Rattus norvegicus: one gene and its partners. The protein of the gene in region 1 interacts with the protein of each later gene in a pairwise test. Links are inferred from orthologs where the notes say so. Each region holds a gene or a part of one and is shown in the gene's direction. Other genes may lie near its edges. The genes, in order: Exoc5, Tnpo2, Rab14, Rab4a, Rab4b, Edrf1 and Deup1.

Region 1 (3,500 bases):
GTCATTTAAAAACTAAACTTGTGATTAGAATTTGGGTCTCTTGGTTATTGGTTCATTTTTGACTTTTTTTTTCTTTTTTGTTGATGTATTCTAAGGTTGAGAATATTTGCAGTTATAAATCTAAGTATAGTAACTTTTTTTTATTTGTCTTTATGGTGTACTAGTATTCAAGATTTGAAAGAAAGGATTAGACAACGTACCAACTTACCACTGGGGCCAAGTATTGACACACATGGGGAGACTTTCCTATCTCAAGAAGTGGTAGTTAATCTTTTACAAGAAACCAAACAAGCCTTTGAAAGATGTCATAGGGTAAGAATAATAAATTAATTTTTAAGATATAGTTGTATAATTCAAGTTTTATCTCATTTATGGAAAAAATGTACTTCCTGGTTAGGACCTACTAATTTTTTAATATTCTTAATCAATATGGTTTATACAAATTGTGTATGTTTATAGGTACCATATGAAGTTTTGATAAAATTATACATCGAGTAATATTCTCATCAGAATGAGCATGTGTATTCTCAAACATTCATTATTCTTTGTGGTAAAAACATTTAAGATCTATTCTGACATTTAAAAGTACTCGTAGTATTTAAAAGTATATAGAACATTGTTAATCTGTTGTTATCCTACTGGTGCAGTAAAACACCAAAATCATTTCTGTTCCCTAACCAACAGTTCTGTTCAGCGGTCTTCCCTCATTCTCCCCACCTCTTCCCACTCCCTCCTCAGCCGCTGCTCACCACATTCCACTGTCTACGAGAGTCCCTTCTTTAGATTAGGCATACGCGCAGGGTCACGCACTAGTAGTTGTTCTGAGACTGCTTGTTCTGCATGTGTGAATCTACCGTTTATCTTTATCCACTATTTAACGGATACTTACATTGATTCTGTCTTTGGATGTAGTGAATATTGTTGCAATAAAATTGGAATGCAGAGCCCTCTCTAAACAAGCAGATTTCTTTTCCTTTTTTGTATACTAAGTAGCAGGACTATTGCGTCCCCCTTTTTAACTTTTTGAGGAGCCTCTACATCACTTTTCATAACAGCCGTTTACATTCCCACCAACAGTGTAGGATGTTCTCTCTCCTCCATATCCTCACCAGCATGTTACCTTTTGTCTTGCCTTCCTAACTGAAGTAAAATGATCATGTTTTCACCGTGTTAGTGCCTTATGTGTTCTCCATATGAACCTATGATTAATAGATTGTATAATTGCCTGTTTTCTCCTTATTCTGTAAGCTTTCTTTCATTCTTTGCTGTTTCCTGTACTGTGTAGCAGCTTTATAGTTGAAGGTAATCTTGTGTGTTTTTACTTTTGTTTCCTTTGCTTTGGGGGTCTCATTCAAGACGCTTCTATCCATTCCAATGTTATGAAGTATTTTCACTACCCTTATTTTGTAGTTTTATAATTTTAGTGCTTACATTTAAGGCTTTACTCTAATCTGAGTTAATTTGTGTCTATGATTAGAGACAGTAGGTACCTGCATACAGTCCCACACCAAATCGACAGTCTTTCTCTAATTTGTATTAACGTTTTTATCAGATCAAAAAGAAACTTCCTGTGGCTAGGCCTGGGCCAACACTAATCTTTGTATATAAATGTAACTCTTTAGGGCGTAGTTTAATAACCTGTCCATTTAGCTAGATAGAAGCAATAGGGTCACCACTAGGGTCTTGGGCATTTGACCAAGTCCACAGCACTAGGTCTGAACTTACTCACGCGGAGCAAACGTCAGATCCCAGCAGAACCGTGTTGGTTGCTCCCCTCACAGCCAGTCACACCAGCTACACCAGCTTGTCACTCATCTCATCAGCCTCGGTGTCTGCCCCTTTATGCTAAGGCGTGTGTCCTGGAATTTGCCCATTTCTCCACACTGTCAAAGTTGTTGACGTACTTCTATTCATGATAATCTATAATCCTTTGTATTTTTATAGCTTTCATTATAATGTATACTTTTTCATCTTTCATTTACTGATATAGAAAATTTGTTTTTCCTTTTCTTCAAAGAGTCTTACTCAGTAGCCCTGGTTGGTCTGGAATCCATTATGTCACTATGTTGACCAAGCTGACCTGGAGTTCCCACAGACCCTCTGCCTCCTGAGTGTTGGGATTAGCACTGTTCATGACCATACCTAGCTCTTAGTCTTTGTTGTAATCGTTTTTCTATTTAGTTTGAGATTGCATTATTTCCCATCCCCTTTACTTACCCTTCTTCACTCTCTTTTAAATTTATGGCCTCTTTTTAAATTAATTATTGTTAAATTCTTAAATTCATGAATACAACCTTCTCGGTCTGTATAATGTTGCTTGTATGTATGTTTTCCGGGTTGACCATTCTATTGGTGATTGACATGCCATTCCCTGGAGAAAGCTTTTTCTCATCCTCAGCGTCCCTTAGTTGCCTGTAGTCTCTTGTATAGGGCTGAAGCCTCAAGTTCTCCCCAACCCCGGTTAACATAGCTGTTGTTATCCTTGCTCAGCTCTTGTGTTGTTGGTGGACCTGATGAGTGTAGCTTCTGACATTTCTCGGAGACATGCGCATAGCAAACATGAGATCTAGAAATCAAAAGTAGCAACAATTCAATGTGAAGTGGTACATTTTTAAAAGTCCATGCTCTTCCCGCTCTTAGATTCTTTTGCCCTCTTCCATGACCGTCCCTGAGCCTAGGTGTAGTAATTGTGTGGTGGCAGTATCGCTCAGACTCGAGTCTGCTCTCTAAAACACAGTTGTTTGTCTTCTTGCCAGGATTGCTTCATCCACAAGATACTGGTGGTTTATTTCCATTATCATGCATGTCAAGATAAAAATTTCATTTCCTTTATTGACTTGTTGATGATTTAGTTGTTTAATGTCCTTGAATTTGTATAAGTTCCAAAGATTTTTCTTGTTATAATTTATTTAGAATATACTTAACTTTTAAGAATTTATTCAAATTTGTATCTCCTATCATGTATAATGAAAAATGTCCCATGTGTTTTTGAGAATATACATGCAGTGGCCTTGATTGGAATGTTTAATAACTGCCTGCTTAAGTTCCTTTGGTCTACGGTCAGCTTGATTCTGATTCTTTATTATCTAACCTGTCTTTTGGTGGTTAATCCATCCATTGTTGAAAGTGAAATTTTAAAGCCCCTGTAAGGGACTTTATTGTATTGGAACATATCTTTCCCTTTAAACTTGTTAATATTTGCATATTTAGTTGTTCTAATATTGGATATCTTCAGTTGTTAGTTCCTTTTGTTGAATTAGTTCAATCACTATATAATGACTTATCCTTGTCACTTTTTAGCTTTCATCTGATTTAAATGATACCTGCTTTTCATACGGAGTCCATCTCTGTAATATCCTTTCTTCGTCTTTCTATAATGTACAGTTGTCTTTAGAGGTGAAATGTGTTGGGTTTTGTTTATATACGTAGTATATAGTTGAGTCCTTTTTAAATTCCACTCAGCCACTCAGAGAATTTAGTTTATTTACATTTTGTGTAAT
Region 2 (4,173 bases), on another chromosome or scaffold:
CGACTCAGCGATTAAGAGCACTTGTTGCTTTGCCACAGGACCCTGGTTTCAAGTGCCAGTACACGTACATGGCAGCTCACAACTGTCTTGTAGCTTTCTAGTTCCAGATTTAACACCTGACTTTCTCTGCCATCGGGCAGAAACGTGAAGCACAGACATGAATGCAGGCAAAACAAACATAAATTTAAAAAAATTGCCATGTGTTTTTTCTCAGTTCCATGTAAAGTGTTAAACAGTATTGAACAATAACAGAACAGAGAGTTGCTCTTGTAAAAGAAAAAACGCAGCAGCCCAAGTTGCATGCCCTGCTCTTTATGTCGGTGTAGTGCTATTTGGAGGCGCGAAAGAGAAACAGGCTCCCTCCCCCCTCCCCGTTTCTCTGTGTAGCTTTGGCTGTCCTGGAACCAGCTCCGTAGACCATGGCTTTTGTGATGTAGCCCAGGCTTTCCTGGTACTAGGGGGCACACTGTTGCCGTACTCTCTATCCCTCCCCTCCCTCACCACAGTCCGGCAGTTCTGAGGCATGCCGGACTGCGAACAGTTTAAATCTTAGGGAGTTTTAGCAAGGGCACGGTTAGCTGTGGTTGAGGGAATCCCTAGGTCCATTACACACCGAGAGCACCCATGCACTACCAAATTTCTAGCTCCTGAAAAATCTGCAGTTGGGGGCTGGAGTCTAGTACTGTCGGCTCTCGCAGAGGACCCAGGTTTGATTTCAGCATTCATATGGCTCACCACCACCAGCTTCACAGGCGTCCAATACCTTCTTCTGGTCCCTACGGCACTGCGCGCACATGGTTCAGGCAAAACACCAATATACATTAAATAAGAAAGCTGCAGTAAGAAAAAGGGAAAGAGACGCTGGGAGGACCTAATGGCTAGAGAGGCCTAGAGGCGGTGCTTATTCTCTCACGTGATTCAACTTGGCTAGGCCGCTCTGTGCCAGATCACGTGTGAGTGCTTCGCTCTCCGATTGGTTCGGCTAGGCCAGTTTGAACGGCGTACGGAAGCCGAAACTGTTCATTTCGGCCGCGTTTTTTTTTTTTTTTTTTTTTTTTTTCTTCTTATTCCCTGCCTCTGGCTCCCTCCTTCCGCGCGAGCCTCTGGAGAAGCTGCAGCACTTAGGCGCCTCCGCTGCCTCCCGGGGCCTGGTAGGTGGGCCTCGCTCGGCCCGGGCCCCTTGGCTTCAGCTCGCCTCGAACCTCCCTGGGTTCTGGGCCTGCGCCGCGCGCCGTCCAGGCGTCGGGGTCGCGCCCGGCTGAGAGGCGGGGTACCGGGTTGGGCCAGCTCTCGAGGCCGGCAGAACGGGCCGGGCGGGGGAGGGGGAGCTGAGCTGATCTCAAGGGGTGGGGCCTCGGCGCCCGGGCAGGTTCGGGTGCCACGAGATGCGGGCCAGTGGGGCGGCTGGGGTCGGGCTGGAGGGGCCCTGATTGGGGGAATCGTCGGGGGACGTCGCGAGGATCGGGTGTGTGTGGGGGTCTGTTTCTGCGGGGCTTGGTTGGGTCTGACTGGGGGTAGACAGCCTTGAAAGTTGAGAGGGGAAGGTTGTTTGGTCCTGATAGGGAGGGGCGTCAGACTTAAGGCCAGAGGGCTTTGCTGAGTCTGACTGCGAGGCGGTGATGGGATCCGTTGAGGGTAGCGCACCGGGCGGGTGTTTGTGCGGGACTCTTTAAGGGAAGCTGCAGGGATTGGACGGATGGGGTCTCCGACACGAAGTGGTCGGGGGGCTTAGGGGAATTTGATTGGGGGAACTGCCAGAGATCCGTCAGCATTAATTCCTGCTGACTGGGGAGGAGGGTAAGGGCTAGAGAGGCTTGGCCAGATCTGATTGGGGCAGGCAGCGGGCATTGGGGGCTTTGGTCCTGGGTTGGGCGGTTTTGACTGGCTCTCATTCAAAGAGACATTGGAGACTTATCGGGATTGCTTGTATTCTGGTTAAGGAGAGTCACTGGGCCGCGTCTAGGTCAGAAAGGGGGGCATGTGGCGTCTACTGAGCTTGTAGAGCCGGTTTAGAAGAGGGAGCAGGGATAAGCAGGATCTGGGCGCTTAGGGACCTAGAAGAGCTCAGGAATCTAGGAGGCGGCTGGCATCTAGCGGAGCTGGAAGGCTGGATTTTGGGGAAGGGAATCCTCGTGGACTGAGCCTTCACCTGAAAGACCGCTGGGGCGGAGCCCCTAGCCCTCGAGGGAGGCGGAAGCCGTGAGGCCCGTAGCTGGGGGCGGCGGTGGCGTGGACCTCTTTGGAAAGAGGGTTTCCTCGTTAGGCTCGATGTGGATACGTCGCGCCCCCGCCGCTGGTCCTGATGGCCCGCTTTTATATTCCCCCCACATGCACTCCCGAGCCCGCGACTGCGTGGCCGAGGATGGCATAGCTGGCGGGGACCCCGCACTTGGACGGGCGCGGATTGGAGGCCTCCGCTTGTCCGCGGAGAGCGCTTGCGTCTGCATGCAGCCGCCTCTGCCTCGGGGACTCAACTTGGGTCTCACACAGAACTCCAGCGACCCAGCGCTGACCCAGGCTCCTACCCCTGCAGTTCGCCTTGCACCATGGACTGGCAGCCAGACGAGCAGGGCCTGCAGCAGGTCTTGCAGCTTCTCAAAGATTCGCAGTCGCCCAACACAGCTACTCAGCGCATAGTGCAGGATGTATCCTTCTTTCCTTCCGGGGCTCGTGGAACAGGGCAGAGAGGGAGGGACTACTTCTTGATTCCCAGACTCTTTCTGCTGTGAGAGAACATGACATGGACGAGAATTAAAGGGTTAGATCTTTGGGTTCCATTTCTGGAAGTGGAGAAAATGATGGGGATGCCTGATGTTCACTGAGTACTTAATTCTTTAACCGTTAAAGTGAGAGTTGTTGACTTTCCTTTAATACATGGGAACCTGGAGTCTTCTAAAGGGGAAATGCCTTGGCCAAGCCTCAGCTAGCAACCAGGGTTTTGAGAAGACCAGGCATCCAGCCATCTCCGATTTTAATCCAGTCTGCCTTGTCAGAATGAGGGTAGATGGATGGGTAGGGACATTGAGTTGAAACATGAATGTTTTTGTAGTTGGAAGCTTTTTTCCTAAGAGCTTTTATAAATACATTTACATGTATATATGTATATATATATTTAAAGTCCTGGTTAGTTTTGTTATTAATTTGGTACACCTATGAAGAGGGGCCTTCAGTTGAAGAATCTCAATCAGCTTGGCCTGCGAGCATGGCTGTGGGGAATTGTTTTGATTACTAATAGGTTCTGGGCTGTGTAGGAAAGGTTGGTGGATGTGAGTGGGGAGGACCTAGTAAGCAGCTTTGTGTAGTGCTTTCTTCAGTTTTAGTCCTCGAGTTCCCACTTTAGGACTTCTCCCTGATGAGCTAAAACAAATGCTTTGTTCCCTGACTTGGTTCTTTCAAGTGCTTTATCACAGGACAGAGAAGCAAATTAGAGCAAGTCCCGAATTTTAAATGATATAGCCATGATAGCATGCACCTTGAATCGTGTAATAACGGTATTCAGGTGGCAGAGGCTGGTGAGTCTCGGAGTTTGGGTGCAGCCTGGTATTATGAAGACTATCTCAAATATAAAATTAAATGTTTGAAACAGTATTGAGTTTCATTTGAAAATGGGACTGGCCCACCGCCTTTCTGTGCAGTGCTGAGAGTGGAACACACCGGCCTGGAACGTGTGGCCCCTGCTTTATCCTGGACCTGTACCCTAAGCTCTGCTCCTGGAACTCAGTCATCCACTCGCTTTATTTTCTCTTAATAGGGCTGGAGACTCAATGGTCTGGCCTCACATATGCTGGATGTATATTTTACCACTGAGTTATATCCCTGGGCTCTTTTCTTTTTTCTTTCTTTCTTTCTTTCTTTTTTTTTTTTTTTTGAGTCATGGTCTTTGTATAACAGATTAAATTATTAACTTAGAACTGAATATGTAGCCCAAGTTTGCCTTGAACTCAGGGTGATCTTCCTGCCTCAGCTTCCCTGGTGCTAGGATTCTGGCCATGCACCACACCCAAGTGGCTTTCCAGTCTGCCGAGAAAAGCAGGTTTCACTGGAGTCCCTAGATCACAGACGTGAGTAGCAGCTGCCAGTTTAAGAGAAGTCATCTTTTTCCAGTCCTCTCCTGCTCTGGTAAGGATATAAGGGTAGTGTAGGAAGCGCAGTCATGTGATCCTCCTGAGAAGG
Region 3 (3,500 bases), on another chromosome or scaffold:
CCTCTTGTGCTGCTAAGAGGCCTGGACCGGTAAGAGAGAATGAGTGGTGAGAGACCAGTTTTGCTAGTATGGAGCCTAGAGCTTTTGTTTTTGTTTATATTAAATTCGCTGTTGCTATGCATAGAGGCCTATGGATAAATGTCCATAGCAGCTTTATTTGTGATAACTAGAAACCAAAAGCAGGCCAGCTACCACAGACACGTGAATAGCAAAACAGTTTGGTTTTACATATCCCCACTACAGTGAGCTATTCAGCCACACCAAAGAAGGAGTTATGGTAACGGCATCAGCACTGATGAATCTCAAGAGAATTTTGCTGAGTTTAAAAGTCTAAAAAGCAGGGGTTGGGGATTTAGCTCAGTGGTAGAGCGCTTAAGGCCCTGGGTTCGGTCCCCAGCTCCGAAAAAAAAAAAAGCTTACATATTTTATGATCCCATTGGCGTGTTTCAAAATGGCAGTCCTGTAGACAGATAAAGAACAAACTGATTGCCAAGGGTTGGTTAGTGAAGGGTAGGTGGCTGATAGAACTGTGCAGAATCAGCAGTAGCAGTTTCTTGGTGGTGATGGTAGTTCTGTGCCCAGATGGAGATGACAGCTGGTGAGTGTTATTGCACTGCCCAGAACCACATGTGGACATAGTCACAGAAATGGGTTTGAAAAAATGGGTATCTTAGGGCTGTAATTGTACCAATGTTAGTTTTCTGGGTTTGAGAGTATAATATGGCTCTGTGAGTTACTAAAGAATTTAAAAAATGTTTTTCAAAGCCTACTTTATATTACTGTTTTCTATGAAATTGCCTTTTGTTTTTATGGGAAAAGTATGTACTTTTCATTTTTGTTACTGTTTTGTGCCTCTTTGTTACCAGACCTCTTGGGGGGTGGGCAGTAGAGACTGGAGATTGACGTGTAGTTGGGAAGAGAAAATACTTCTTTTTGAAGAGGGTGGTGGTGGAGGGAAGTGATGGAGACGGTGTGCCTGCTAGGCACATGCTCTGCCCAGCCTTCAGTCTAGAAGGTTTACCTCTTGGTTTGAATGCCTGTCTTATAATGACCCTATCCTAGGCTGGATTTCTCTTTAAGTGTCATTATTTTATTGTTCAAATGACTATGAACATTATTTTCCCTTGTCAGTGGTCACTTGCACTTTGAAGAATGTTTTTTGATTATACCATTTAACTTATATAGAAATAATTGATTAGTTCATTGGACCCCAACATTTGAAAGTGGAAGAGACAAAGTACTAATTTTATGTGGACAAAAAAGTTGGGAAGCACTTGTTGGTTGGAATCATTGTTTCCTAACATCTGTATCTGTTAAAAGAGGCAGAAAGGCAGAAGAGGGGCTGACATCTCTGCCCTTTGTGCCTTAAATAACCAAAACACCATTGTTTTCTTACCTTTAGTCTTTAAACAATTTTACTTTGGTAAAACTCCAAAGTAGACGGTGAGGTGATGTTTGTCCAAGGATTCGAACCTATTGTGTGTTTATCCCGTGCCAGCTTCTTTCACAGACAGAAGCATTGCTAGTTAGTGATAGAAAGTTATAACCCTCCTGGGATAACATCAGCTAGGACAGTGTTGTCTCTACGTCACAGTTTGCATTCTCTAGGGTTCTAATGCCCTCCGCTAACTCTGTCTTATTTTAATTTAAGGGGAAGGTAATTACTGTTACCCTGAATGAGTTAAACTGGTGGTTTTCAAGTTTCTTCAGGGTTGTAGAATCTTTTGAGAACCTGAAAGCCACAAGCCTCCTCCAGGGAATGTTCATGGTTATGGTGCTTTGCATTTAATTTTAGGGCATTCTTACTAATCTTGCTTACTCTTTGGCCTAGACCAGATATGAACTAACTGGCTTGTGAGCCATCTTCACCTAATGAATGACTTTTCTACTTTTAAGGGACTTGTGACAACAATAAAAATAATATTCAGCAAAACTCGTGTGGGGCTCACAAATCTAAAATATGCCTTCTCTTCCTTACGGCAGGTTGTCAGTCCCCCACCCAGCTTGTTGCCAGGGTCCTTCTTGGTGCTCTTGCCTTTGTAAAGGCTCTGTAGTCCAGGGCACTTAGGGGTCGTTTTTTGTCTTGTTAAGACTTTTGTATTTGAGAATTTTCATAGGTATTTTTGTTCTAAGACACCTTTTCTTTTGTTCACAAATTAGGTAATAATTCTCATAGGAAATAAAGCAGATTTGGAAGCACAGAGAGATGTTACCTATGAAGAAGCCAAACAGTTTGCTGAAGAAAACGGTGGGTTGAAGACTTAACACTCTTCTGTGGGAGTTTTAAAGGAGAGGAGTTTTAGATCATGCAGGTTATTTAATATTTAAAAAAAAAAAAAAAACCTTTTCAGAAATCTGAGTAAGGAAATGAAGTGTTTGTTTCTGTGGTACATGTTCGTAGTAATGCAGCTACTGAATGATAAGTGCAGATCTGCCCCTGCCTCAGACACGTGCTCCTTCATAAGGGCTGGAGGAGGAGGACGGGCAGCTGTGTGGGCCCTGCTCACATGTGACTGAAGAGTGCTTCTGACTCTGCAATGTTCTAATTTTAGTCTGAATTTTATTTTTAGGCTTATTGTTCCTTGAAGCAAGTGCAAAAACGTAAGTATGGCTAAAATGTAGATCATGTTTCAGTTCCACGTAGAGTAGAATCATGTGCTGTGTAAGTGGGTGATGCTGTAGACACCCATGTGAGCTGTGCTGTGTAGTGAGGCTGTGACAGTGCCCACAGCAGGAAGAGCAGTGAGCAGAAGCCTTTGTTTCACAGTACAAGGGAGTGCGAGCCTTTGTAACTTAAAGAGTTGTACCTCATCGTGTCCCCTGGTCCCAGGTCAATACATGAAACTGCTGGCGCAATCTCACAAGTGTCTGACTCTCACAGCCAAGGTTAAGGTTGGTATCTTGAACATGCAGCTCAGCCAGCATGTTCACACAGCATTAATGATCACCTTAAAGAATGATTCAAGGACATATGTACTCAGTGGCTAATGGGGCACAGTGAACACTTCCTGATTGTCCTTGGAGTTCAGCATTGACCCCCAGCACTCCCCAGTCATCGTTCTATATCCACACCAGGCAAGGACAGGCCAACCTCTTCAAATTTTTAGTCCCAAGAAAGCCGATCTGTGAACATGGTTAAACATGACTGTGTTGCCATCACATGATAAAGATAGCATAGTTTTACACATGGCTGTTTATAAAATACTGGTAAGCCTGGAATTCTGTCAGCACATTTGGAGAAGTTTTATTTGGAGAACCTGCTGTCATTTCAGAAGTGGCTATCTCAGGTGTCATGCAATGTATTAACAGAGAGCTGCAGTGAGTAGAAGATAGAAGTTCGCAAACCGATGTTCTCTTAGCCCAGTCTTCTGGTAATCTCTTATTAGATGACAGTGGCTAATTGGAAGACATGACAGTTCACTAAAGGTTTGCAGGTCAGCGTAAATGCCTTACATATTCTAGAAAGCTGTGCTTTGTGAATAAAGTTGTTGATTGTCTTT
Region 4 (4,195 bases), on another chromosome or scaffold:
ATCATAGAGTTGTTCCTGAGGTAGGGTTAGTCTCCCAATGCAGCCTTGGCTTGCCTAGAACTCACTGTGGAGCCCAGACTGGCCTTTAACTCAGCAGTGCTTGGCTCTGCCTTCTGAGATCCGGAGCTAAAGGCCTGTGCCGCCATGCCCAAGCAAGACAGGTGTTTTGGATGTAATCTTGTTTGTGAGCGACTCTGAATATTGCAGATTTTCAGCTGGAAAAGAAATGAAACAGAGCTCAAGGGTCGCACATTCTCAGGCCTTCAGCTCAGTTCCTTGCTATTTTAACATTTTTTTTTTTTTTTTTTTTTGAGACAAGATCTCTCTCTGTGTAGCCCTGGTTGTCCGAGAACTCACCCTGGAACCAGGCTGGACTCGAACTCACAGAGATCCGCCTGCCTCTGCCTCCTCAGTGCTCGGATCAAAGGCATGCGCCAACACTGCTGGGCTATTTTAACATTCTTATATGAAATATCTCTATATTAAATGAATTGTGCAGGCACTCATTCTTGTTATTTTAAATTGTATTTACTTTTTTTTTTTTTTTTTTTTGGAGTCGTGTCTCTATCATCTGTTTTCCCTCCTTGCTGTGTAGCCCAGGTAAACCTTCAACTTGAAACAATCCTGCCTACGCCTCCCAAATGCTGGGATTATAGGCAAGGGACACCATGCCAGGCAATCTCAACAGTCAATTTCGCATGCTGTGCCAGCAAGGGACTTCAACAAGATTCCAGGATGAAGGGGGATCCTTTCCCTCCCCACGTCTTATTTTTCCACAGATCCGGTCTCTGCAGCTGTGAAGAAGGCAGGCTCTTAGGCCCTGCTTTGCTCAGGTGGGTCAAATTCCTGTCCCCAGTTTCCCGTTCAATAAGTGTCCCGACCCTTTTCCTCGGAAGAAGGAATAGGTTCTGACCTGTATTGTTCCATAAACCGAACACACCTTTGAAATTAGCCTGCAGTCAGGGCCACGCAACACTGCACTGTCCACTAAAGCGGGGAGCAGGAGAGTTCACGTGACCAAGCACACCTGCCTGAGCTGGAGTTGGCTTTCTGCTGGTGAACCCTCTTTCTGTCAAAACAAGCCCTCGGGCGGGCGGCCTGCTGTGCACCCTAGCCTGGTAGGTAACACTTAAGGAAGACTGAGTCTGTACTGCTAAGCCATCTGGGAGGACCTATGGGGCGCAGGCGCCCCCTCCCGAGCCCCGCCCTCCTCCTTCCTGGTTCCCTCCTTCATCCTCCCTCACCTTCGCCTCCTCCTCCGAGTAGGAGCCTCTAACCAGTTCTCTTGCCCTCCCTCCTCCCCTTCCCCAACCTCGCTCCTCCTTCCTCCTGCGACCCCGCCCCTCCCCCCTCCGCCCGGCTGCTTCGCCGGGCGGCGGTGCGCAGGCGCGGAGCCGAGTCCCGCTGGGCCGCAGCCGGTGGCCGGCTCGCCGTGGGCCCGTACCCGGCTCTCCACACTCGGTTCCTCTCGCTCTGCGGAGACTGGAGGACGAACCCCGTGGAGCTGTGGCGGCAGGATGGCGCAGACCGCCATGTCCGAGACTTACGGTAGGACGCGCGGGCTTGCGTGCGAGGATAGAGGGGCAGGCCTTGGGGTCCCGGAATGTTGGGGGCTGGGGTCAGTCAGGGTGTCCAGAGCCGGTGTCTAGACTATCGAGATGTCGTGCAAACCTCGCGGTGTCAGGGGCCAGGTGGAGATATTGAGAATCTTGGGTTGTTTAGGGTTGGGTTGGGATTCTAGTCATGTCAGCAGTTGGGATCCTGAGAATCTGGGTGTTAGGGGCCGGGTGGAGATACTGAGGATCCTGAAGTGTCAGCGGCTGGGAGCCTGAGATTCTTGGGGTGTCAAGGTCGAGCTGGAACTTGAGAATGTCTGGGTGTTTCAGGATAGGTTGGAATCTTGAGGAGCTAGGGGTGCCAGGCGCTGGGCTGGACTCGGTGGCCAGCAGGTGCCCCCAGCTGTGCAGAGCTGCTGTGAATCTCTCTCCCAAGGTCCCCCCTGCTTTGACCCTGGTTTCACCCTACATTTTCCTCCTTGGGTTGTTTAAATGGCTCAGGGTTGGAAGAGCCAATTTATCGTTGAGTTTCCCCCCTCCTCACTGCAGCACCAACCGCGGGGATGAAGGTTCTGGGCCACGCCTGCATTCAGTGGCTCTGGGGGCACGGCTGTGGGCCTCTCAAGGTTTGGAATTCCTTTCTTTGCATTGAGATTATAATGAGTTTTAAGTGGATGAACGCACCTCTTTTCTGGAGACCCCTGGCCTCCTGTATCTTTCCCTTCCTCCCTTCCTCCAGCATATGTTTGCATTATAGAGATTTATAAATATATTTCCTCTTTATGGCCAGAGGCCTTGGATATGGAGCTGTGGTTTTGTTTTTTTGGTTTTTTTTTTTTTGTTGTTGTTGTTGTTTTCGTTTTTTTTTCATCTTTTTGTTGTTGTTGTTGTTTGTTTGCTCCTGCAGCACCCAGGCGTTCTCAATGCACGTGCTGGGTGCTCCCCCTCCCCCAACCGAGGTAAGACTAAACAACTACTACTATGCATGGTTGGCCCACGCTTGCCTGTACTGAGACCTGAAACTTTGACTCAGTCTGTGCTGGTCCCAGAGAGGGACTCCCACGGAAAATCGTGGTGATCTGTCAGGTGATCCCCATCCAGTATGTGCCCCCTGCTTTCTTCCTGCCACAGGGTGGGGTCAGGGTACCTCCAGGAAGGTTCTACTCATTGTCTGAGTGCGATGGAAACCTCCCCAAGAGTTTGCAGTCCAGCGAGGAGTAGATTTTTATTTCAGATGTGGCCTTAGTGGGTGAACAATTATAAGCCAGGCAGCAGCTCTGAGGGATTCAGCACGGCTGTGTGAGAAAGAGCTGACCTAGATGGGTCAGAGACAGGCAAGTGGACAGGCAGACCTGGGGTTCAGGTCTGGGAGTGTGGCTTGGGCACCTTACCTTGAGAAAGGTGAGGACACAATTGAAGAACTTCGGCGGTTTGGACTTTGAGAGGGTGGGACCCTGGAAAGGGTGTCATGAGGCACACAACAGCCTGGTCCACTATCACCCAGAACCAGCATCCACTCTTCCTGTGGCACTGGGGCATAATGCTTGTCCCTGTACGCTAAAGGCACTATCCAGTGGGTGACTGGCTTTGTCAAGGCCACAGGTGGCCTATGTATGCCTCTGTGGTGTGGTGTGGTGTGGTGTGGTGTGGTGTGGTGTGGTTTGATTTTTCTGCCAGGAGCCACTATAAGAAATGCCTCCAGCAAAATACACTCTCTAGCTCATTGTCATCCTTTTCTTTGAGTCGCCTGAGGAGTTCCTGGGAGGAGTAGAGCCCTCAAAGAAAGCCTCCCGGTGTCATGGCCAAGTGAGGCAGGAGGAGGACAGCATGGGAGGCAGCCTTGTCCCTTGGTTCTCTCAGGAAATGATAGGTAATAAGGCGGACATCACCACACACCCTCTGCTTCACGGCACGCAAAGTTAATTAGGGTTTGCTCACCACAGCGTACTGATTAAACTCTGATCGTGAAGCTGTCACTGTTAGTATTACCTCAGGGACTGGAGATAAAACTCAGTGGCAGAGAGCTTACCTAGCATGTGCAAGATACCAGGAGGCACACACATTTTGTGTGTGCCTGTTTATTAATTTACTTATTTCTAATTTACGTGCATTGGTGTTTTGCCCAGGTGTATGCTTGTGCGAGGGAGATCTTGGAGTCACAGACAGTTGTGAGCTGCCATGTGGGTGCCTGGAATTGAACCCAGGACCTTAGGAAGAACAGTCAGTGCTCTTAACCACTGAGCCATCTCTGCAGCCCTGTGAATATTTACCTTTTCCCTTATTTCAAGGTATTTTTCCCAAATATGACTTTAGTTTTATTTTTTTGTTTGTTTTGAGACAGGGTCTTTCTCTATAGTTCTGGATGGCTTAGAATTCACCGTGTAGCCCAGGTTGGCCTCACACGTATGGCAATACCCCTGCCTCTGCCTCCCAAGTGCTAGGATTATAGACATGTGTTCCTGTTTCCAGGGTTTTAATTTTCTTTTCTTTTCTTTTTTCTTTCTTTCTTTTTTTTTTTTTTTTTGGAGCCAGGACCGAACCCAGGGCCTTGGGCTTGCTAGGCAAGCGCTCTACCACTGAGCTAAATCCCCAACCCCCAGGGTTTTAATTTTTAACTAAGTCTGAATCTAATATTTCTT
Region 5 (4,133 bases), on another chromosome or scaffold:
GGCTAGATGCATTGCAGTGTGATCACCGGTTGGTTTTCTTTCTTTCTTTTTTTTTAAAGATTTATTTATTTATATGAGTGCTCTATTTGCATGTATGCCTTCATGACAGAAGACTGGTTGGTTTTCTATCTACTCTTTTTTCTACTCTTTTTCAGGAATGGGATTTCTACTGTCAATGAGCTCAACCCACCGATGTTATCCCTGCAGTTACCCTTCCGGTTTGGGCAAATACAGCGGCCAACTGCAAAGTGTTTTGTCCCTTTGGTTTTTGGGGTGGGCATGTACAAAGAATGTTTCACGGGTTCCTGAACCTAGCCAATTAAAGCCCTGAATGTTGTAACGTCAGTAGTTACTAGGCAGAGTTTCACTTTGCATGCCCTTTGCTCCAAGGTAAGGTTTGGAACCCCCACCCCACCCCGGGCACCCAAAGCAGGGGAATAAACAGTACAATATACGTATGCTTTCCTCCCTTTAGAAAGGAGTTGAACTATTGGTCTGAGCCAATTAGATCCCAAGAAGCGCATAGATGGCACAGACCTTTTTCTTTCCTTCCTTTTTCCTTTTTCTTTCTTTCTTTCTTTCTTTTTTGAGACATGTTTCTCTCTTTTTTTTTTTTCTTTTTTTTTTTCGGAGCTGGGGACCGAACCCAGGGCCTTGTGCTCGCTAGGCAAGCGCTCTACCACTGAGCTAAATCCCCAACCCGAGACATGTTTCTCTATGTAGCCCCTGACTGTTCTGAAACTCATTATGTAGATCAGGCTGGCCTCGAACTCATCGATGCCTCTGCCTCTGCCTCCTAAGTACTGGGGTTGAAAGCATTCGCTACCATGCCCGACCAGCAGAGGCTTTCTTGTAGATTAGGGATCAGTGTGCGCGTGTCCTCTCAGCTTTCCTCTTTCCGGCCTGTGGGGTTAGAATTTAAACCAAGCAGCCTGAGACCGTTCTTCCAACTCTGTCCATCCTGCCCTTGCTCCTTCTTAGCATTCGTGTCCCCGCCCCAATGCCTACGTCTAACCAATCCGGAGTCTCGTCTCTGCTCCGATTTTTGACCAAATCCGTTCCTCCGTCGGGCGCAGTATCTTTGCCTCCGCCCTCTCCTACTTGCTCCACCAATCGCTCTTCTATGTCACGCCCCTTTTGACTCAGCCCCTCTCATGCTGCCAATCCGCGCTGCTTGTCCCGCCCACTGTCTCCTGAATCCACCAATCCCTGTGTTGGGCGAGCGTGGCCTGGTATCCGCAGCTCCAGAGGCTCGCGCGGGAGTGGGGGGGGGTGAAGGCGGAAGTGGCGGCGCCGGGTCCAGGAGTGGAAAGGAGCTGAGGCTGCAGCCCGAGTGGAGCGGCTGCCAGCCGGGGAACAGGCGCGGCCGCGGCGCCATATTGCGGCCCTCAGCGGTCGCCACCGAGCCATGGCTGAGACCTACGGTGAGGATAGTGGGCCGAAGCGGGGGGCTGGGCCCTTAGTGGATGTGGATGTGGAAGTGGGGCGGGGCTTTCTGTTCAGGTGGGCGGGGTCTGCCGGGATACGGGGCAGGGCTAAGTGAGTCTGGGGCTGAGTTTAATCGATTTGGGTGGAGCTTGAAGAGACCGCTTTACGGATTAAAAAGATCTAGGCGGGATTTGAGGGACCTAGTCGTGGTGGATTAGGGTAGGTGGTAGGCCTTGAAGAGGGAAGCAAGTCTTCCTGGGCGGAGCGTGAGTGGATAGGGCGGGGCTAACTAGCAAGGGTCGTGTTTTATGGACTCCAGAGAGAGCTTCACACAGATGCTGTGGACCCTGCAGTCTGTGGGGTTGATCTGGTTTGAAAGGGCTGGAATGATGTTCCTGAGTTATAGATTTGAAATTTAGCGCCAAGGGATGCGGCTGAAGTTTAAGGATAGAGGCCAGGGGTTCTGGACAGAGGATGGGTAGAAGAGGTTCAGAGTTAGGCAGTCAATATGGATGCACACTGTCAGGTGGGTAAAGGGAGGTTGGAGGGCAGTAGAAAACTCTGACAACAATCAGAGACAGCTCCATTCATTCAACGCTCATAGAAAAGCCAAAGAGTCTGGTGCACAGTTACCTTGGGAGGTAACCGGGTTAGGAAATAGGGCCAATGTCAAAGGCCTTGACAGAGTGAACGGGTGAGAGGGTGGTAGGAGAAGTGAAGAGGAATGGAGTCCAGCTTTGATTCTTGTTGAAATGGCTTTTTTTTTTTTTTTTTTCGGAGCTGGGGACCGAACCCAGGGCCTTGCACTTTTTTTTTTTTTTTTTTTTTTTTTGGTTCTTTTTTTCGGAGCTGGGGACCGAACCCAGGGCCTTGCGCTTCCTAGGTAAGCGCTCTACCACTGAGCTAAATCCCCAACCCCTGCACTTCCTAGGCAAGCGCTCTACCACTGAACTAAATCCCCAACCCCCTCTTTCTTTTTTTTTTTCTTTTTTTTTCTTTTTTGTTCTTTTTTTTTTTTTTTTTTTTTTTGAAATGGCTTTTGAATTGCACCAGCTAAAGTCTTGCATTGTGGAGACCTTTGGTTTGGATTTGTATCTTAGCTGTGCCTAGCTGTGTGGTCTTGGGTAGGTCAGTTAACCTCTTTGGCTTCATTTTCCTAGTCTGGAAAGTAGAAGAACTTAGTATACTTCCTTCTCTCTTTAAAAAAATTTTTTTTAATGTATACATTTTTTTTTAATGAGTACACTGGAGCAATCTTAAGACACACCAGAAGAGGGCATCGGATCCCATTACAGATGGTTGTGAGACACCTTGGGGTTGCTGGGAATTGAACTCAGGACCTCTGGAAGAGCAGTCACTGCTCTCAATTGCTGAGCCATCTCTCGAGCTGTTTAATTCCTTCTTTAGAGCTTTTTTATGATTTCATTTATGATTCAATGAGCTGATGACATTTCATAACAGTCTTTAGGACTGTGATGGGCATGTAAATGGTAAACACTATATAAGAATAATCTTGTGTGCTCTAACCCTCACATTTGGGAAACTGAGGCAGGAGGACTGCTTCAAGTTAGAGGTCAGCAAAGTAATACTCTTTAGAAAGAAAGAAACAGGGAGTGTGCTGGCACATCCTGTACTACCAGCAGTGGGAATGCTGAGGCAGGAGGATTGGAGTTCAAGACCAGATAGTGCTACACAATGAGTCCCTGAGTGGGAAAAGAACGAAAGAAATACAGGGGATGGCAGCGCACTCTTTTAGAGGCTGAGGCAGGATGAGTGTGGAGTTTGAGGACGGCTAGGTCAGTCTGGACTACATAGTGAAACTTTGTTTGGAACATCAATGATAATAATGAAGGAAGGAGTCATCTCCAGCCCAGTAGGGGTGCGCACCTCTAATCACAGCACTCAGGCTGGTGGAAGAGGCAGGGCAATCTTTGAGTTTCAGGGCAGCCTTGTATACAGAGTAAGTTCCAGGACAGACAGGGCTACACAGAGAAACCCTGTCTCAAAAGAAAAAAATCATGTTGGGCTAGGCTGGCTAGCATGCAGGATGTCCTGAGTTCTATCCACAGCACTGTAGACTTTAAAGATTTATTTATTTTATTTATAGATGGTTGCAAGCCACCATGTGGTTGCTGGGATTTGAACTCAGGACCTCTGGAAGAGCAGTCAGTGCTCTTAACCACTGAGCCATCTCTCCAGCCCAGCACTGTAGACTTTAAAAAAAAAAGTTTTTTTTCCCCTCTCTCTCTCTCTTTTTAATGCATGGCTGTATTTCTACTTTTGTGCATCTTTCCTTCTGACTTTGTTTCTTCTCTTACTCCCTTTGTCTTTCTCTCCCTCTGGATATCTTTGGTGCCATCTGCTCAGACTTCCTCTTCAAATTCCTGGTGATTGGCAGTGCCGGAACTGGCAAATCATGTCTCCTCCATCAGTTTATTGAGAATAAGTGTGAGTTTCTGGTGGGACCCTGGGCCATTGGGCAGCAGGCGGGGCAGGTGGCAGGTGCCGCTGGATAAAGCTAGTGCTATAGGTTTTGCCTCTGGCTTGGTCTGGGTGGTCTTTGCTAAGTTCTCTGCCAACCCAGCAGTGAGAAATTGGGGTTCAGAAATGGAGGAGGTCTGCATGGGGGGGGGATTCCAGGAGCCCCTGCACTGCCTCCCGTTTCCCTCCTACTTCAGTCAAACAGGACTCCAACCACACTATTG
Region 6 (3,500 bases), on another chromosome or scaffold:
TCATTCTAAAATGGATGGTGTTCCCCCTGGAAAATAGAATTGGCCCCACATTAACATTATATGAAGATTTAAAATCTGTTTTATATGTATGGATGTTTTGCCCGTATGCACAGATCTGTGCACCACACGCATGCCTGGTTTGATAGATCCCCTGAAACTAGAGTTCCAGGCAGTTGTGAGCTGCCATATGAGGGGTGCTGGGAATTGAACCTAGGTCCTCTAGAGTAGCAGCATGTGTTCCTGACTGCTCAGCCATCTCTCCAGCCCATGTGAAGAAAGGATAGACTATTGTCTTATTTATCTCATCCTCTTGGCTTCTTATTTACATTATTGGTTTTTGAGATTTTAATTTATTTTTATCTTACGTATATGAGTGTTTGCCTGCATTTTTTTTTTTTTTGGTTCTTTTTTTTTTTCGGAGCTGGGGACCGAACCCAGGGCCTTGCGCTTCCTAGGTAAGCGCTCTACCACTGAGCTAAATCCCCAGCCCCTTGCCTGCATTTTTGAATAGTACCGTGTGCATGTCTGATGCCTACAGAGGCCACAAAAGTGTATTGGATTCCCTGGAGATAACTGACAGTTGGGACCTGCCATGTTCCCACTGGGAATTGAACCAGGGTTCTGTGGAAGAGAGCCAGTGTTCTTAACCATCATTTCAGCCCCTAGTTACTTGTTTTTAACTTACTGTGTCTTCCATAGGATGAAATAACACTGTAGATGCTAATTTGTGGCATTTTTATTTTTAGGAAAATACACTAAAATAAGCCCAAAGAAATAAAGCTTTTAGCTTGGTAAAATTTTTTTTTTTTTTTGTCTTGCTGTGTATTTTCATGTACTGAACATGATTCAGCCAGATTGGTTCAGTCTTTACACATTATAATAGACTTGTAAAAAATTAACACATTTAACTTGCTTTTATAAAAAAAAAATGACTAACTTGGTTTTAATTTTAGAGAAGACATTCCATAAAAGTACATAAATGAATTTGAGGTGTTTGGGTTTATTTTTTCCCCAAGGATTTCTCTTGAAAGGAGGGAGGTGCATAATATTTAAGTCACTTAGTGGTTAGAGGAAGGAGTAGAGGTGTATCATTACTTTATGTGTTTTATTGCATGTGCTATCTGTAACAGGATTTCTTAAAACTCACATTACAGTGGCTAGAAGAGTGGCTGGAGGGTCTGCGTTCCATAACAGCACGCACATTGGGCAGCTGTTTTAACTCCAGCTCCAGGGGAGCCTTTATCTTCCTCTAAGTCAGTAGACTAAGATAGCTTCATGAAGGCATGTACGTGCACACATCCCAAGGCCAGAGGCAGAGGATTGATAGTCAAATGTCTCCTGGTGACAGCTGCCTGATGGCTGCAAAACTGCATGATATGCTGTGTTTACCCAAAATATGGGTATTTTTCTAAATGTATTCCAGACTCTGAGATACATTTAGAAAACAAAAGGATAGGGTACAAAGAGAGTCCCTGTCTCAAAAAAAGGAGGAGTTTTAATATTAAAAGATGGGAGGACATTGGATTATACAGAGAAGGAGGTAGATTTTTTTAATTTAATTTAATTCCATTTAAAAGATTTGGATTTTGGGTTGTTTAGTTTTGTTTGGTTGGTTTTTAGGACAGTGGTAGGGAGAATGGTGTTCGATAGACATTAATCTTTAAAAGCAGGTGTATGGCAGGCAGCAGGTTTTCACACTAATTGGAAAGTTTTCTCTGGGTCTCTAGGGTTTAGGATTCTGTGGAGTTCACACAGGCCATGCTCAGCTGCAGACTGGAAGTGAAGGTTGTTTTAAACTGGTGGAGGTACTAGGTGTTTCAGTTCAGTAGAGATGTGCTGGACTTCCAGAGAGTGGTAATCAAACTTACAAAACCAAGAAATGAAAGTGGATTCTTTGAAAGATCTTTAAATCTACCTCATTTAAGAGATAAATATGATTGGTTTGAAGCAGTTGTGGGAAATCATAGGTAAAGCAAGCTATACCCCATGAGTTATGAGCACCATGCATTGTACTGGCTAATTCATACAGGTAGATTGGGGTGTGTGTTCTTGTGTGTGGGTGATAACTCTGTAAGCATAGGTCAATTGTAAGCCGTGTTGGCAGCACAGTCACTCCTTATCTTGCACTTTCCACAGGGCAGAGAGCCTCTTGAGCCCTCATGCATAGTGGGGCATGTGGCCTCAGCACCCAAAGAGCAAAACCTTACTACTTTGTTCAATGACGGGGAGAACAGTCAGGTATGCTTTCCATGTGCCCATCTGAGACAACTGGCCCTGACCACTTCCTCATTGGAAAACTAGTCTCAGTTGGAACTGATAGGGGATATTTCCACTAGGTTTCAAAATTGCTTTGTAAACATCTCTCTGTCTTACAGCTCTTGGGAATTGACCTTGTCTCTGCTTCTTCTTTCCTGGTGTTTCTTTGGATCATGGGGGGAAATTGTCCATCTGCTGTTATTATAATCTTTCCTGTTTTAAATTAAAGGGTCTTAAAAATGATTTTGTCCGGAATATTCTGTGGACTTTTGAAGATATCCATATGCTAGTTGGTTCTAACATGCCTATATTTGGTGGAGGCAGATATCCAGCAGTTAGCCTACGTCTCAGGTAAACCACCTTAAAGTGCAATGTCTGATTAGCTCTTCTCTGACTGTTGGTTTCTCCTCTTTCCCTATTTTCTTCTCCTTCCTCCTGCCAAAGAGAATAGCCACAGAAAGAGAGAAAACAGATGCTGATAGCCCAGTAAACAGGTGTCCATTCTGATCCCTGATTAAAAGACTAGACCATATGTCTGTGGAACTGGCCTTGTCTTATGGTTGAGGCTACAACTACTGAAAATAGAAGAGTTTATTTAATTGCTTGAGGTGGTTGACCACCTTCCCCTTATGCAATTGTGAACATTTTCTTAATGCTCCATGCTTGTGAACCAATGGGAGTTGTGACTTGGGCATTATCATTTATATGGTCAGTGTTTCCTTAGGATGCAAGGAGCTCACAGTCGCATCATCATACCGTAATCTTCCATTTGTACTGAGAACTTATCAATGCCTGTTAGAAATGCAAAGTTTTTGAGAAGATTCTAGACATAACACAACTGTTGAGCTATGTGTCTGGGTCTTCATATTAGAAAACATCTATGGCAGTCTCTGTCTAGAGAGAAAAGACTAGGATATTTAAATGGGAAAATACATCTAAGATGATTCATTATGGGACATTTATTTAACCAAATAACACTAGAAATGTATATTTTTCAGGGATAACAACAAACCAATTAATGTGTTGACTGGAATTGACTATTGGTTGGACAACTTGATATGCAATGTACCAGAACTTGTGATGTGCTTCCATGTAAATGGGATTGTACAGGTAAGACACGGGGTGATGGCTCTAATTTTTCAAATGTAGAATGGTGCAGAGAGAATTTCACATTTTTAAGGCTTTAAATATGAAGATGTGTCTTTGGCTCCGAGATAGATGTGAATGAACTGAAATTTTAGTGT
Region 7 (4,044 bases), on another chromosome or scaffold:
CAGAATAATGAAGTTTCAGGATAAGATGAGATGACCATGCTTCACCCAGTCACTGTCAGAACTGCACTAAGCAGAACTAGCTTCCTGAATTACTCCACATGACTCATCTGAGCACCGGGCAAACCTGGATGGAGGACTGTGGGCTGGATTAAAATTGACGGCCATGTTAAAGTAGCAAAGTGACATGAGTCAAAAGAATGCAAATGACAGGCTTTAAGAACTAGCAATCAATCAGCTGAACATGCTGAGAAACAGTTATGTTCCTAAAGTAGGCCCAGCAGCATCCCCCAATTCACATGCTTGCTGTCACACCTGTGTGTGTGTATAATATATAATATATAATGTGTAATGTGTAATATGTACTATGCAGTATGTAGTATGTAATATGTAATATAATACATATAATATATAATAAATTAATATGTAATTATATAATGTATATAATAACATACATGTATCAGTGCATGTGTGATTTCTTTATTGTCTGTATTTTGTGCCAAGTATATATACACGTATGTATATTATATATAACTTGTAAATAGTACATGTATCAATGTATTGTGATTTCTATACTGTATGTGTGTATTCTGTTACATATGTGTGTATATGTGTATATATACATACATATACATATATATGCATTATGGTATATAACGTCATTTTCTAAGTGAAATCAACAGGGTCAGACTGAGATTCTGTCATCAATTATGGTTGGAATGTGGCTGAAAAGGAAAGAATTTGGAATCAGTTACCGAGGATCCGGGTTGGTTCCCACCACTAGAAGCTACTCCCTTGTTCCCAATACAGCCTAATCCACCTAACTGGCAGTTTTCCAAGGACTCAGAGAACTGTGAGGAAGAGAGAGGTTTAAATGGTGCGAATACAGTGACAGAGGAGTGAGCCTAACCAATTCCCAGCTGGAAGTTAACTAAGGTGAATTCAAAGGGCCTTTGCCTGGAGTTCTTTCCCTCCCAACCCTGGTTTCCTCTGGGAAGAGGGCTGAGGCCCAGAGTTAGGTATCCCAGTCTCTGTGGCGCTCCTGGTGGCCCACCAGCTCTCTGATTGGGCAGTGTCCTCCCGCGCTTCTCTCGCGCCCCTGGGTGCGGCGGGCCGCAGCTAGCCAGGATGGGCGGATCTTGGAGGCACTGGACTGGGCACTGACCGCGCCAGTACTAGGGAGTTCCGGCTGGAGGGAAGCAGACCGGTGCGGAGGCCGCGTCTCCATGGCAACCCATTGGGGACCAGAGGCCAACGGTGCCGGCCGGGCGGGGTGCTGCGGGCGGGACCCACAGCCCAGGCCAGGGCAGACCTCTCCAGACAGCAGTACAGGTAACAGGCGGCTGACTCCCTGAACCCAGGACCTGTCCCTCCCCTAGGCAGCAGCTGGCTTCCACTGCCTCCAGCAGACCCTGGGAGTGTGCCTCAGTTTCCCTCTTTTGTCTGAACTTTTTGATCTAGTTTTGTCTCCTGTCACCTCCAGTGTCTGCCCCACTGCTGCAATTTCCTGTGGTGCTAAACGGTCTGAATGGAGATTCCTCCTATCCCCTTTCCCCTTCCTTCCTTTCCTTCCCCTTCTTCATATTCATCCTGTTCACCTCCCCCTCTCCCACTCTCTTCTTCTCTCTCCCTTTACCCTCTCCTCTCTTTCCTCCTCCTCTTCATCCTCTTCAACACCTTCTCTTTTTCCTTCCCTACCCCTCTCCTTCTCTTTCTCAGGTACTTAATTAGTTCATATACTTCTTAGTAAGGTTAGGTCCAATTTACCACTTTGTTCATTTATCCTTATAAGTTTATCCACTAATGGGACAACAGTGTGTCTGTGTTGTAGGGGTGGTGTGAGGGGGTATGGGGAGGTGTAGGGGGTGATATGGGGAGGGTTGGGAGGGATGTAGGTGCCAGGGAGGGAGAGGGCATCTGATTGCCCTGGAGCTAGAGTTATAGGTGGTTTTGAGCTCCCCGACCAGTGCTGGGGTCCTCTCTCTGCACTCTAAGCTCAATGACTGCTGGACCAGTTGTCCAGCTCCTGTTCTTGGACTTTTGTACTAAATCTCCTGCTTTATCTACTCCTTTAAAAGGTCAAGAAAAGCCAACAAAAGAATATACTCCAAGGCAGAGGATAGGGAGTCGCTAAGATGTAAACTCCAAGGGCTTCTAGACAACACTTCTCAGAGCAAGAATTAGGAACTGAGCACTCTGAAAAGGCCACTGACACCTAGCTGCCTTTGAGTTAAGGAGGAATGCTTTCTGGTTTCAGCCAGTACCAAATATTGCAAACAAATGCTGAGCCAGTATTCCTACTTGTGTGGAAACTTCAAGCCAAAGAAACCTCCCCACCCCCCACCCCCCACCCCCACACCCTACCCACACCCCCACCCACACCCACACCCCCACCGTGGGCCTTCTGTACTTGTCAAAGCTAGAGCTTCCATGCTCACAAAACCTATACTAAGTGGCTGCCAACAGCAAAAATATCATATCTTATATTAATATGTGTAAGCATTTTATAATTCTAAATAATTTCCCTCCTCACAGATTAAATATCAGTAAGTACCAAGTCAGATGTAAACATTTCTTGGCATGGAGAACCAAGCCCATACTACGGCAGGGTAAGTGCTGCAGAAATTCTATTTAATTAGCTCATCTTTATGCCCAGAAGTCCTGGAGGAAGCGTGAGTTCTGAAATGAATTGTTAAAAATAGGATGTGCTGATTGGGGGAGGGGGTAAATAGACAGAAAATCTCAAGTAAGTTATGAAGTCTCTATTCGTGTGAATCTTTCTGATGTTGAGTCTATACCCTGGAAGACAGCGCTTCCCGACTGATACGTCAGCATCACAGGTTGGGGACCCACGCTGGCCTCCTCAGCCCTTAACATGTCCACAGCACAGCACTTCCTGGCCTTTTCTTGCTGGGGTGAGTGGTTTCTCTGCTCCTACATAAGACTGGCCACATTTTCTCAACATATAAACACAGCCCCACGATGCATATATTTCCATAGCACAGCAAGAATTGGATATTTTAGAATGGGGTTTGGAGAACATTCACCATAGGAAATGGGCCAAATTCCGCTTCACAATTATTTGTCCTGCCTCTTCTCCTGCATCAGCACCATGAAGAGTTCACTATCCTTCTGCCTCTGCTGGACTCACACTGAGGCAGCAGAGGCACTCACATCAGAGCCCAGTCCTGAGTGTGGCTGCTTTTGACCCAATCACAACTCTAGCGTCTCACTTCCAGTGACTCTGCTTCCCCTGTGACTCTGACATCAGGTAAAGGAAAGGAGAGAAGCATGAGTAACTAAGACTACGTTTCGAGTCCGATCTCCTGGCCATAGCCCTTATTCTCAACAAGAAAACAGAATACATTATAGTAGAGCCAGAACCCCTGAAACACACACACGCGCACACACACACACACACACACACACACACGCACATGCACAGGCACACACACACACGCACGCACACATGCACGCACGCACATGCACACACACACGCACATGTACACACATGCACATGCACAGGCACACACACACACACGCACACACACACACATGCACAGGCACACACACACGCACGCACACGCACACACATGCACACCAAGTGCACAGCCTTAAGTAACATGCAAACCCATCTCTATGTCAGAGTGAGTGGTTGCTCCGGTTCTAGCTCCAGCATTGTGACTGTTTTCCATCCTGGTCTTAGTGAGGGGGAAACAAGGGCAGGAAAGACTTTCCTTCTAGAAGTCTGCCTAGAGATGTCGGGCTCCCCTGTGTTCATTAACATTGGCCAGAACTCAGTCACACGGAGTCGTGAAAAAAAAGGCTCGGAAATGTGCTCTCCAGCTGGGTAGCACATGCCTAGCTATAGATCAGGAATTCCATACATGGTTGACGCTGGACTCAGGACTGCTCAGCTTGCCCGATCACCTGACGCTTGGGTGAAGCTCTGAAGAGGATGGTGGAAACCATCTTCTAATCTCTAATCTATCTTCTGTGGATTCACTCTGACAACGCTGGTGGCCTCAAATGCACAGTCAGCAGTGA

Evidence for each region.
Region 2: the proteins of Exoc5 (region 1) and Tnpo2 interact in binary tests that used the Homo sapiens proteins (3 or more experiments, as listed by UniProt). The two-hybrid records come from large-scale screens. The link is inferred for Rattus norvegicus from reciprocal best matches to the Homo sapiens genes EXOC5 and TNPO2.
Region 3: the proteins of Exoc5 (region 1) and Rab14 interact in binary tests that used the Homo sapiens proteins (3 or more experiments, as listed by UniProt). The two-hybrid records come from large-scale screens. The link is inferred for Rattus norvegicus from reciprocal best matches to the Homo sapiens genes EXOC5 and RAB14.
Region 4: the proteins of Exoc5 (region 1) and Rab4a interact in binary tests that used the Homo sapiens proteins (3 or more experiments, as listed by UniProt). The two-hybrid records come from large-scale screens. The link is inferred for Rattus norvegicus from reciprocal best matches to the Homo sapiens genes EXOC5 and RAB4A.
Region 5: the proteins of Exoc5 (region 1) and Rab4b interact in binary tests that used the Homo sapiens proteins (3 or more experiments, as listed by UniProt). The two-hybrid records come from large-scale screens. The link is inferred for Rattus norvegicus from reciprocal best matches to the Homo sapiens genes EXOC5 and RAB4B.
Region 6: the proteins of Exoc5 (region 1) and Edrf1 interact in binary tests that used the Homo sapiens proteins (3 or more experiments, as listed by UniProt). The two-hybrid records come from large-scale screens. The link is inferred for Rattus norvegicus from reciprocal best matches to the Homo sapiens genes EXOC5 and EDRF1.
Region 7: the proteins of Exoc5 (region 1) and Deup1 interact in binary tests that used the Homo sapiens proteins (3 or more experiments, as listed by UniProt). The two-hybrid records come from large-scale screens. The link is inferred for Rattus norvegicus from reciprocal best matches to the Homo sapiens genes EXOC5 and DEUP1.

Annotation. Positions count from the first base shown.
Region 1 is NC_086033.1:24,803,942-24,807,441, reverse strand, and holds part of Exoc5 (exocyst complex component 5), read left to right. Parts: intron 1-164; coding exon 165-312; intron 313-3,500. UniProt on the Homo sapiens protein: Component of the exocyst complex involved in the docking of exocytic vesicles with fusion sites on the plasma membrane.
Region 2 is NC_086037.1:40,021,388-40,025,560, reverse strand, and holds the start of Tnpo2 (transportin-2), read left to right. Parts: upstream 1-1,373; 5' UTR 1,374-1,465; intron 1,466-2,490; exon of another isoform or gene 2,491-2,533; 5' UTR 2,534-2,546; coding exon 2,547-2,645; intron 2,646-4,173. UniProt on the Homo sapiens protein: Probably functions in nuclear protein import as nuclear transport receptor. Serves as receptor for nuclear localization signals (NLS) in cargo substrates.
Region 3 is NC_086021.1:38,901,685-38,905,184, reverse strand, and holds part of Rab14 (ras-related protein Rab-14), read left to right. Parts: intron 1-2,160; coding exon 2,161-2,248; intron 2,249-2,570; coding exon 2,571-2,601; intron 2,602-3,500.
Region 4 is NC_086037.1:68,691,686-68,695,880, forward strand, and holds the start of Rab4a (ras-related protein Rab-4A), read left to right. Parts: upstream 1-1,395; 5' UTR 1,396-1,517; coding exon 1,518-1,548; intron 1,549-1,555; exon of another isoform or gene 1,556-4,195. UniProt on the Homo sapiens protein: The small GTPases Rab are key regulators of intracellular membrane trafficking, from the formation of transport vesicles to their fusion with membranes.
Region 5 is NC_086019.1:91,597,538-91,601,670, reverse strand, and holds the start of Rab4b (ras-related protein Rab-4B), read left to right. Parts: upstream 1-1,333; 5' UTR 1,334-1,408; coding exon 1,409-1,424; intron 1,425-3,795; coding exon 3,796-3,876; intron 3,877-4,106; coding exon 4,107-4,133. Other genes in the region: Mia (melanoma-derived growth regulatory protein precursor), read left to right, coding at 156-179. UniProt on the Homo sapiens protein: The small GTPases Rab are key regulators of intracellular membrane trafficking, from the formation of transport vesicles to their fusion with membranes.
Region 6 is NC_086019.1:197,878,129-197,881,628, forward strand, and holds part of Edrf1 (erythroid differentiation-related factor 1), read left to right. Parts: intron 1-2,136; coding exon of another isoform or gene 2,137-2,238; intron 2,239-2,485; coding exon 2,486-2,607; intron 2,608-3,254; coding exon 3,255-3,366; intron 3,367-3,500. UniProt on the Homo sapiens protein: Transcription factor involved in erythroid differentiation. Involved in transcriptional activation of the globin gene.
Region 7 is NC_086026.1:20,720,786-20,724,829, reverse strand, and holds the start of Deup1 (deuterosome assembly protein 1), read left to right. Parts: upstream 1-1,244; 5' UTR 1,245-1,329; intron 1,330-2,532; 5' UTR 2,533-2,577; coding exon 2,578-2,606; intron 2,607-4,044. UniProt on the Homo sapiens protein: Key structural component of the deuterosome, a structure that promotes de novo centriole amplification in multiciliated cells.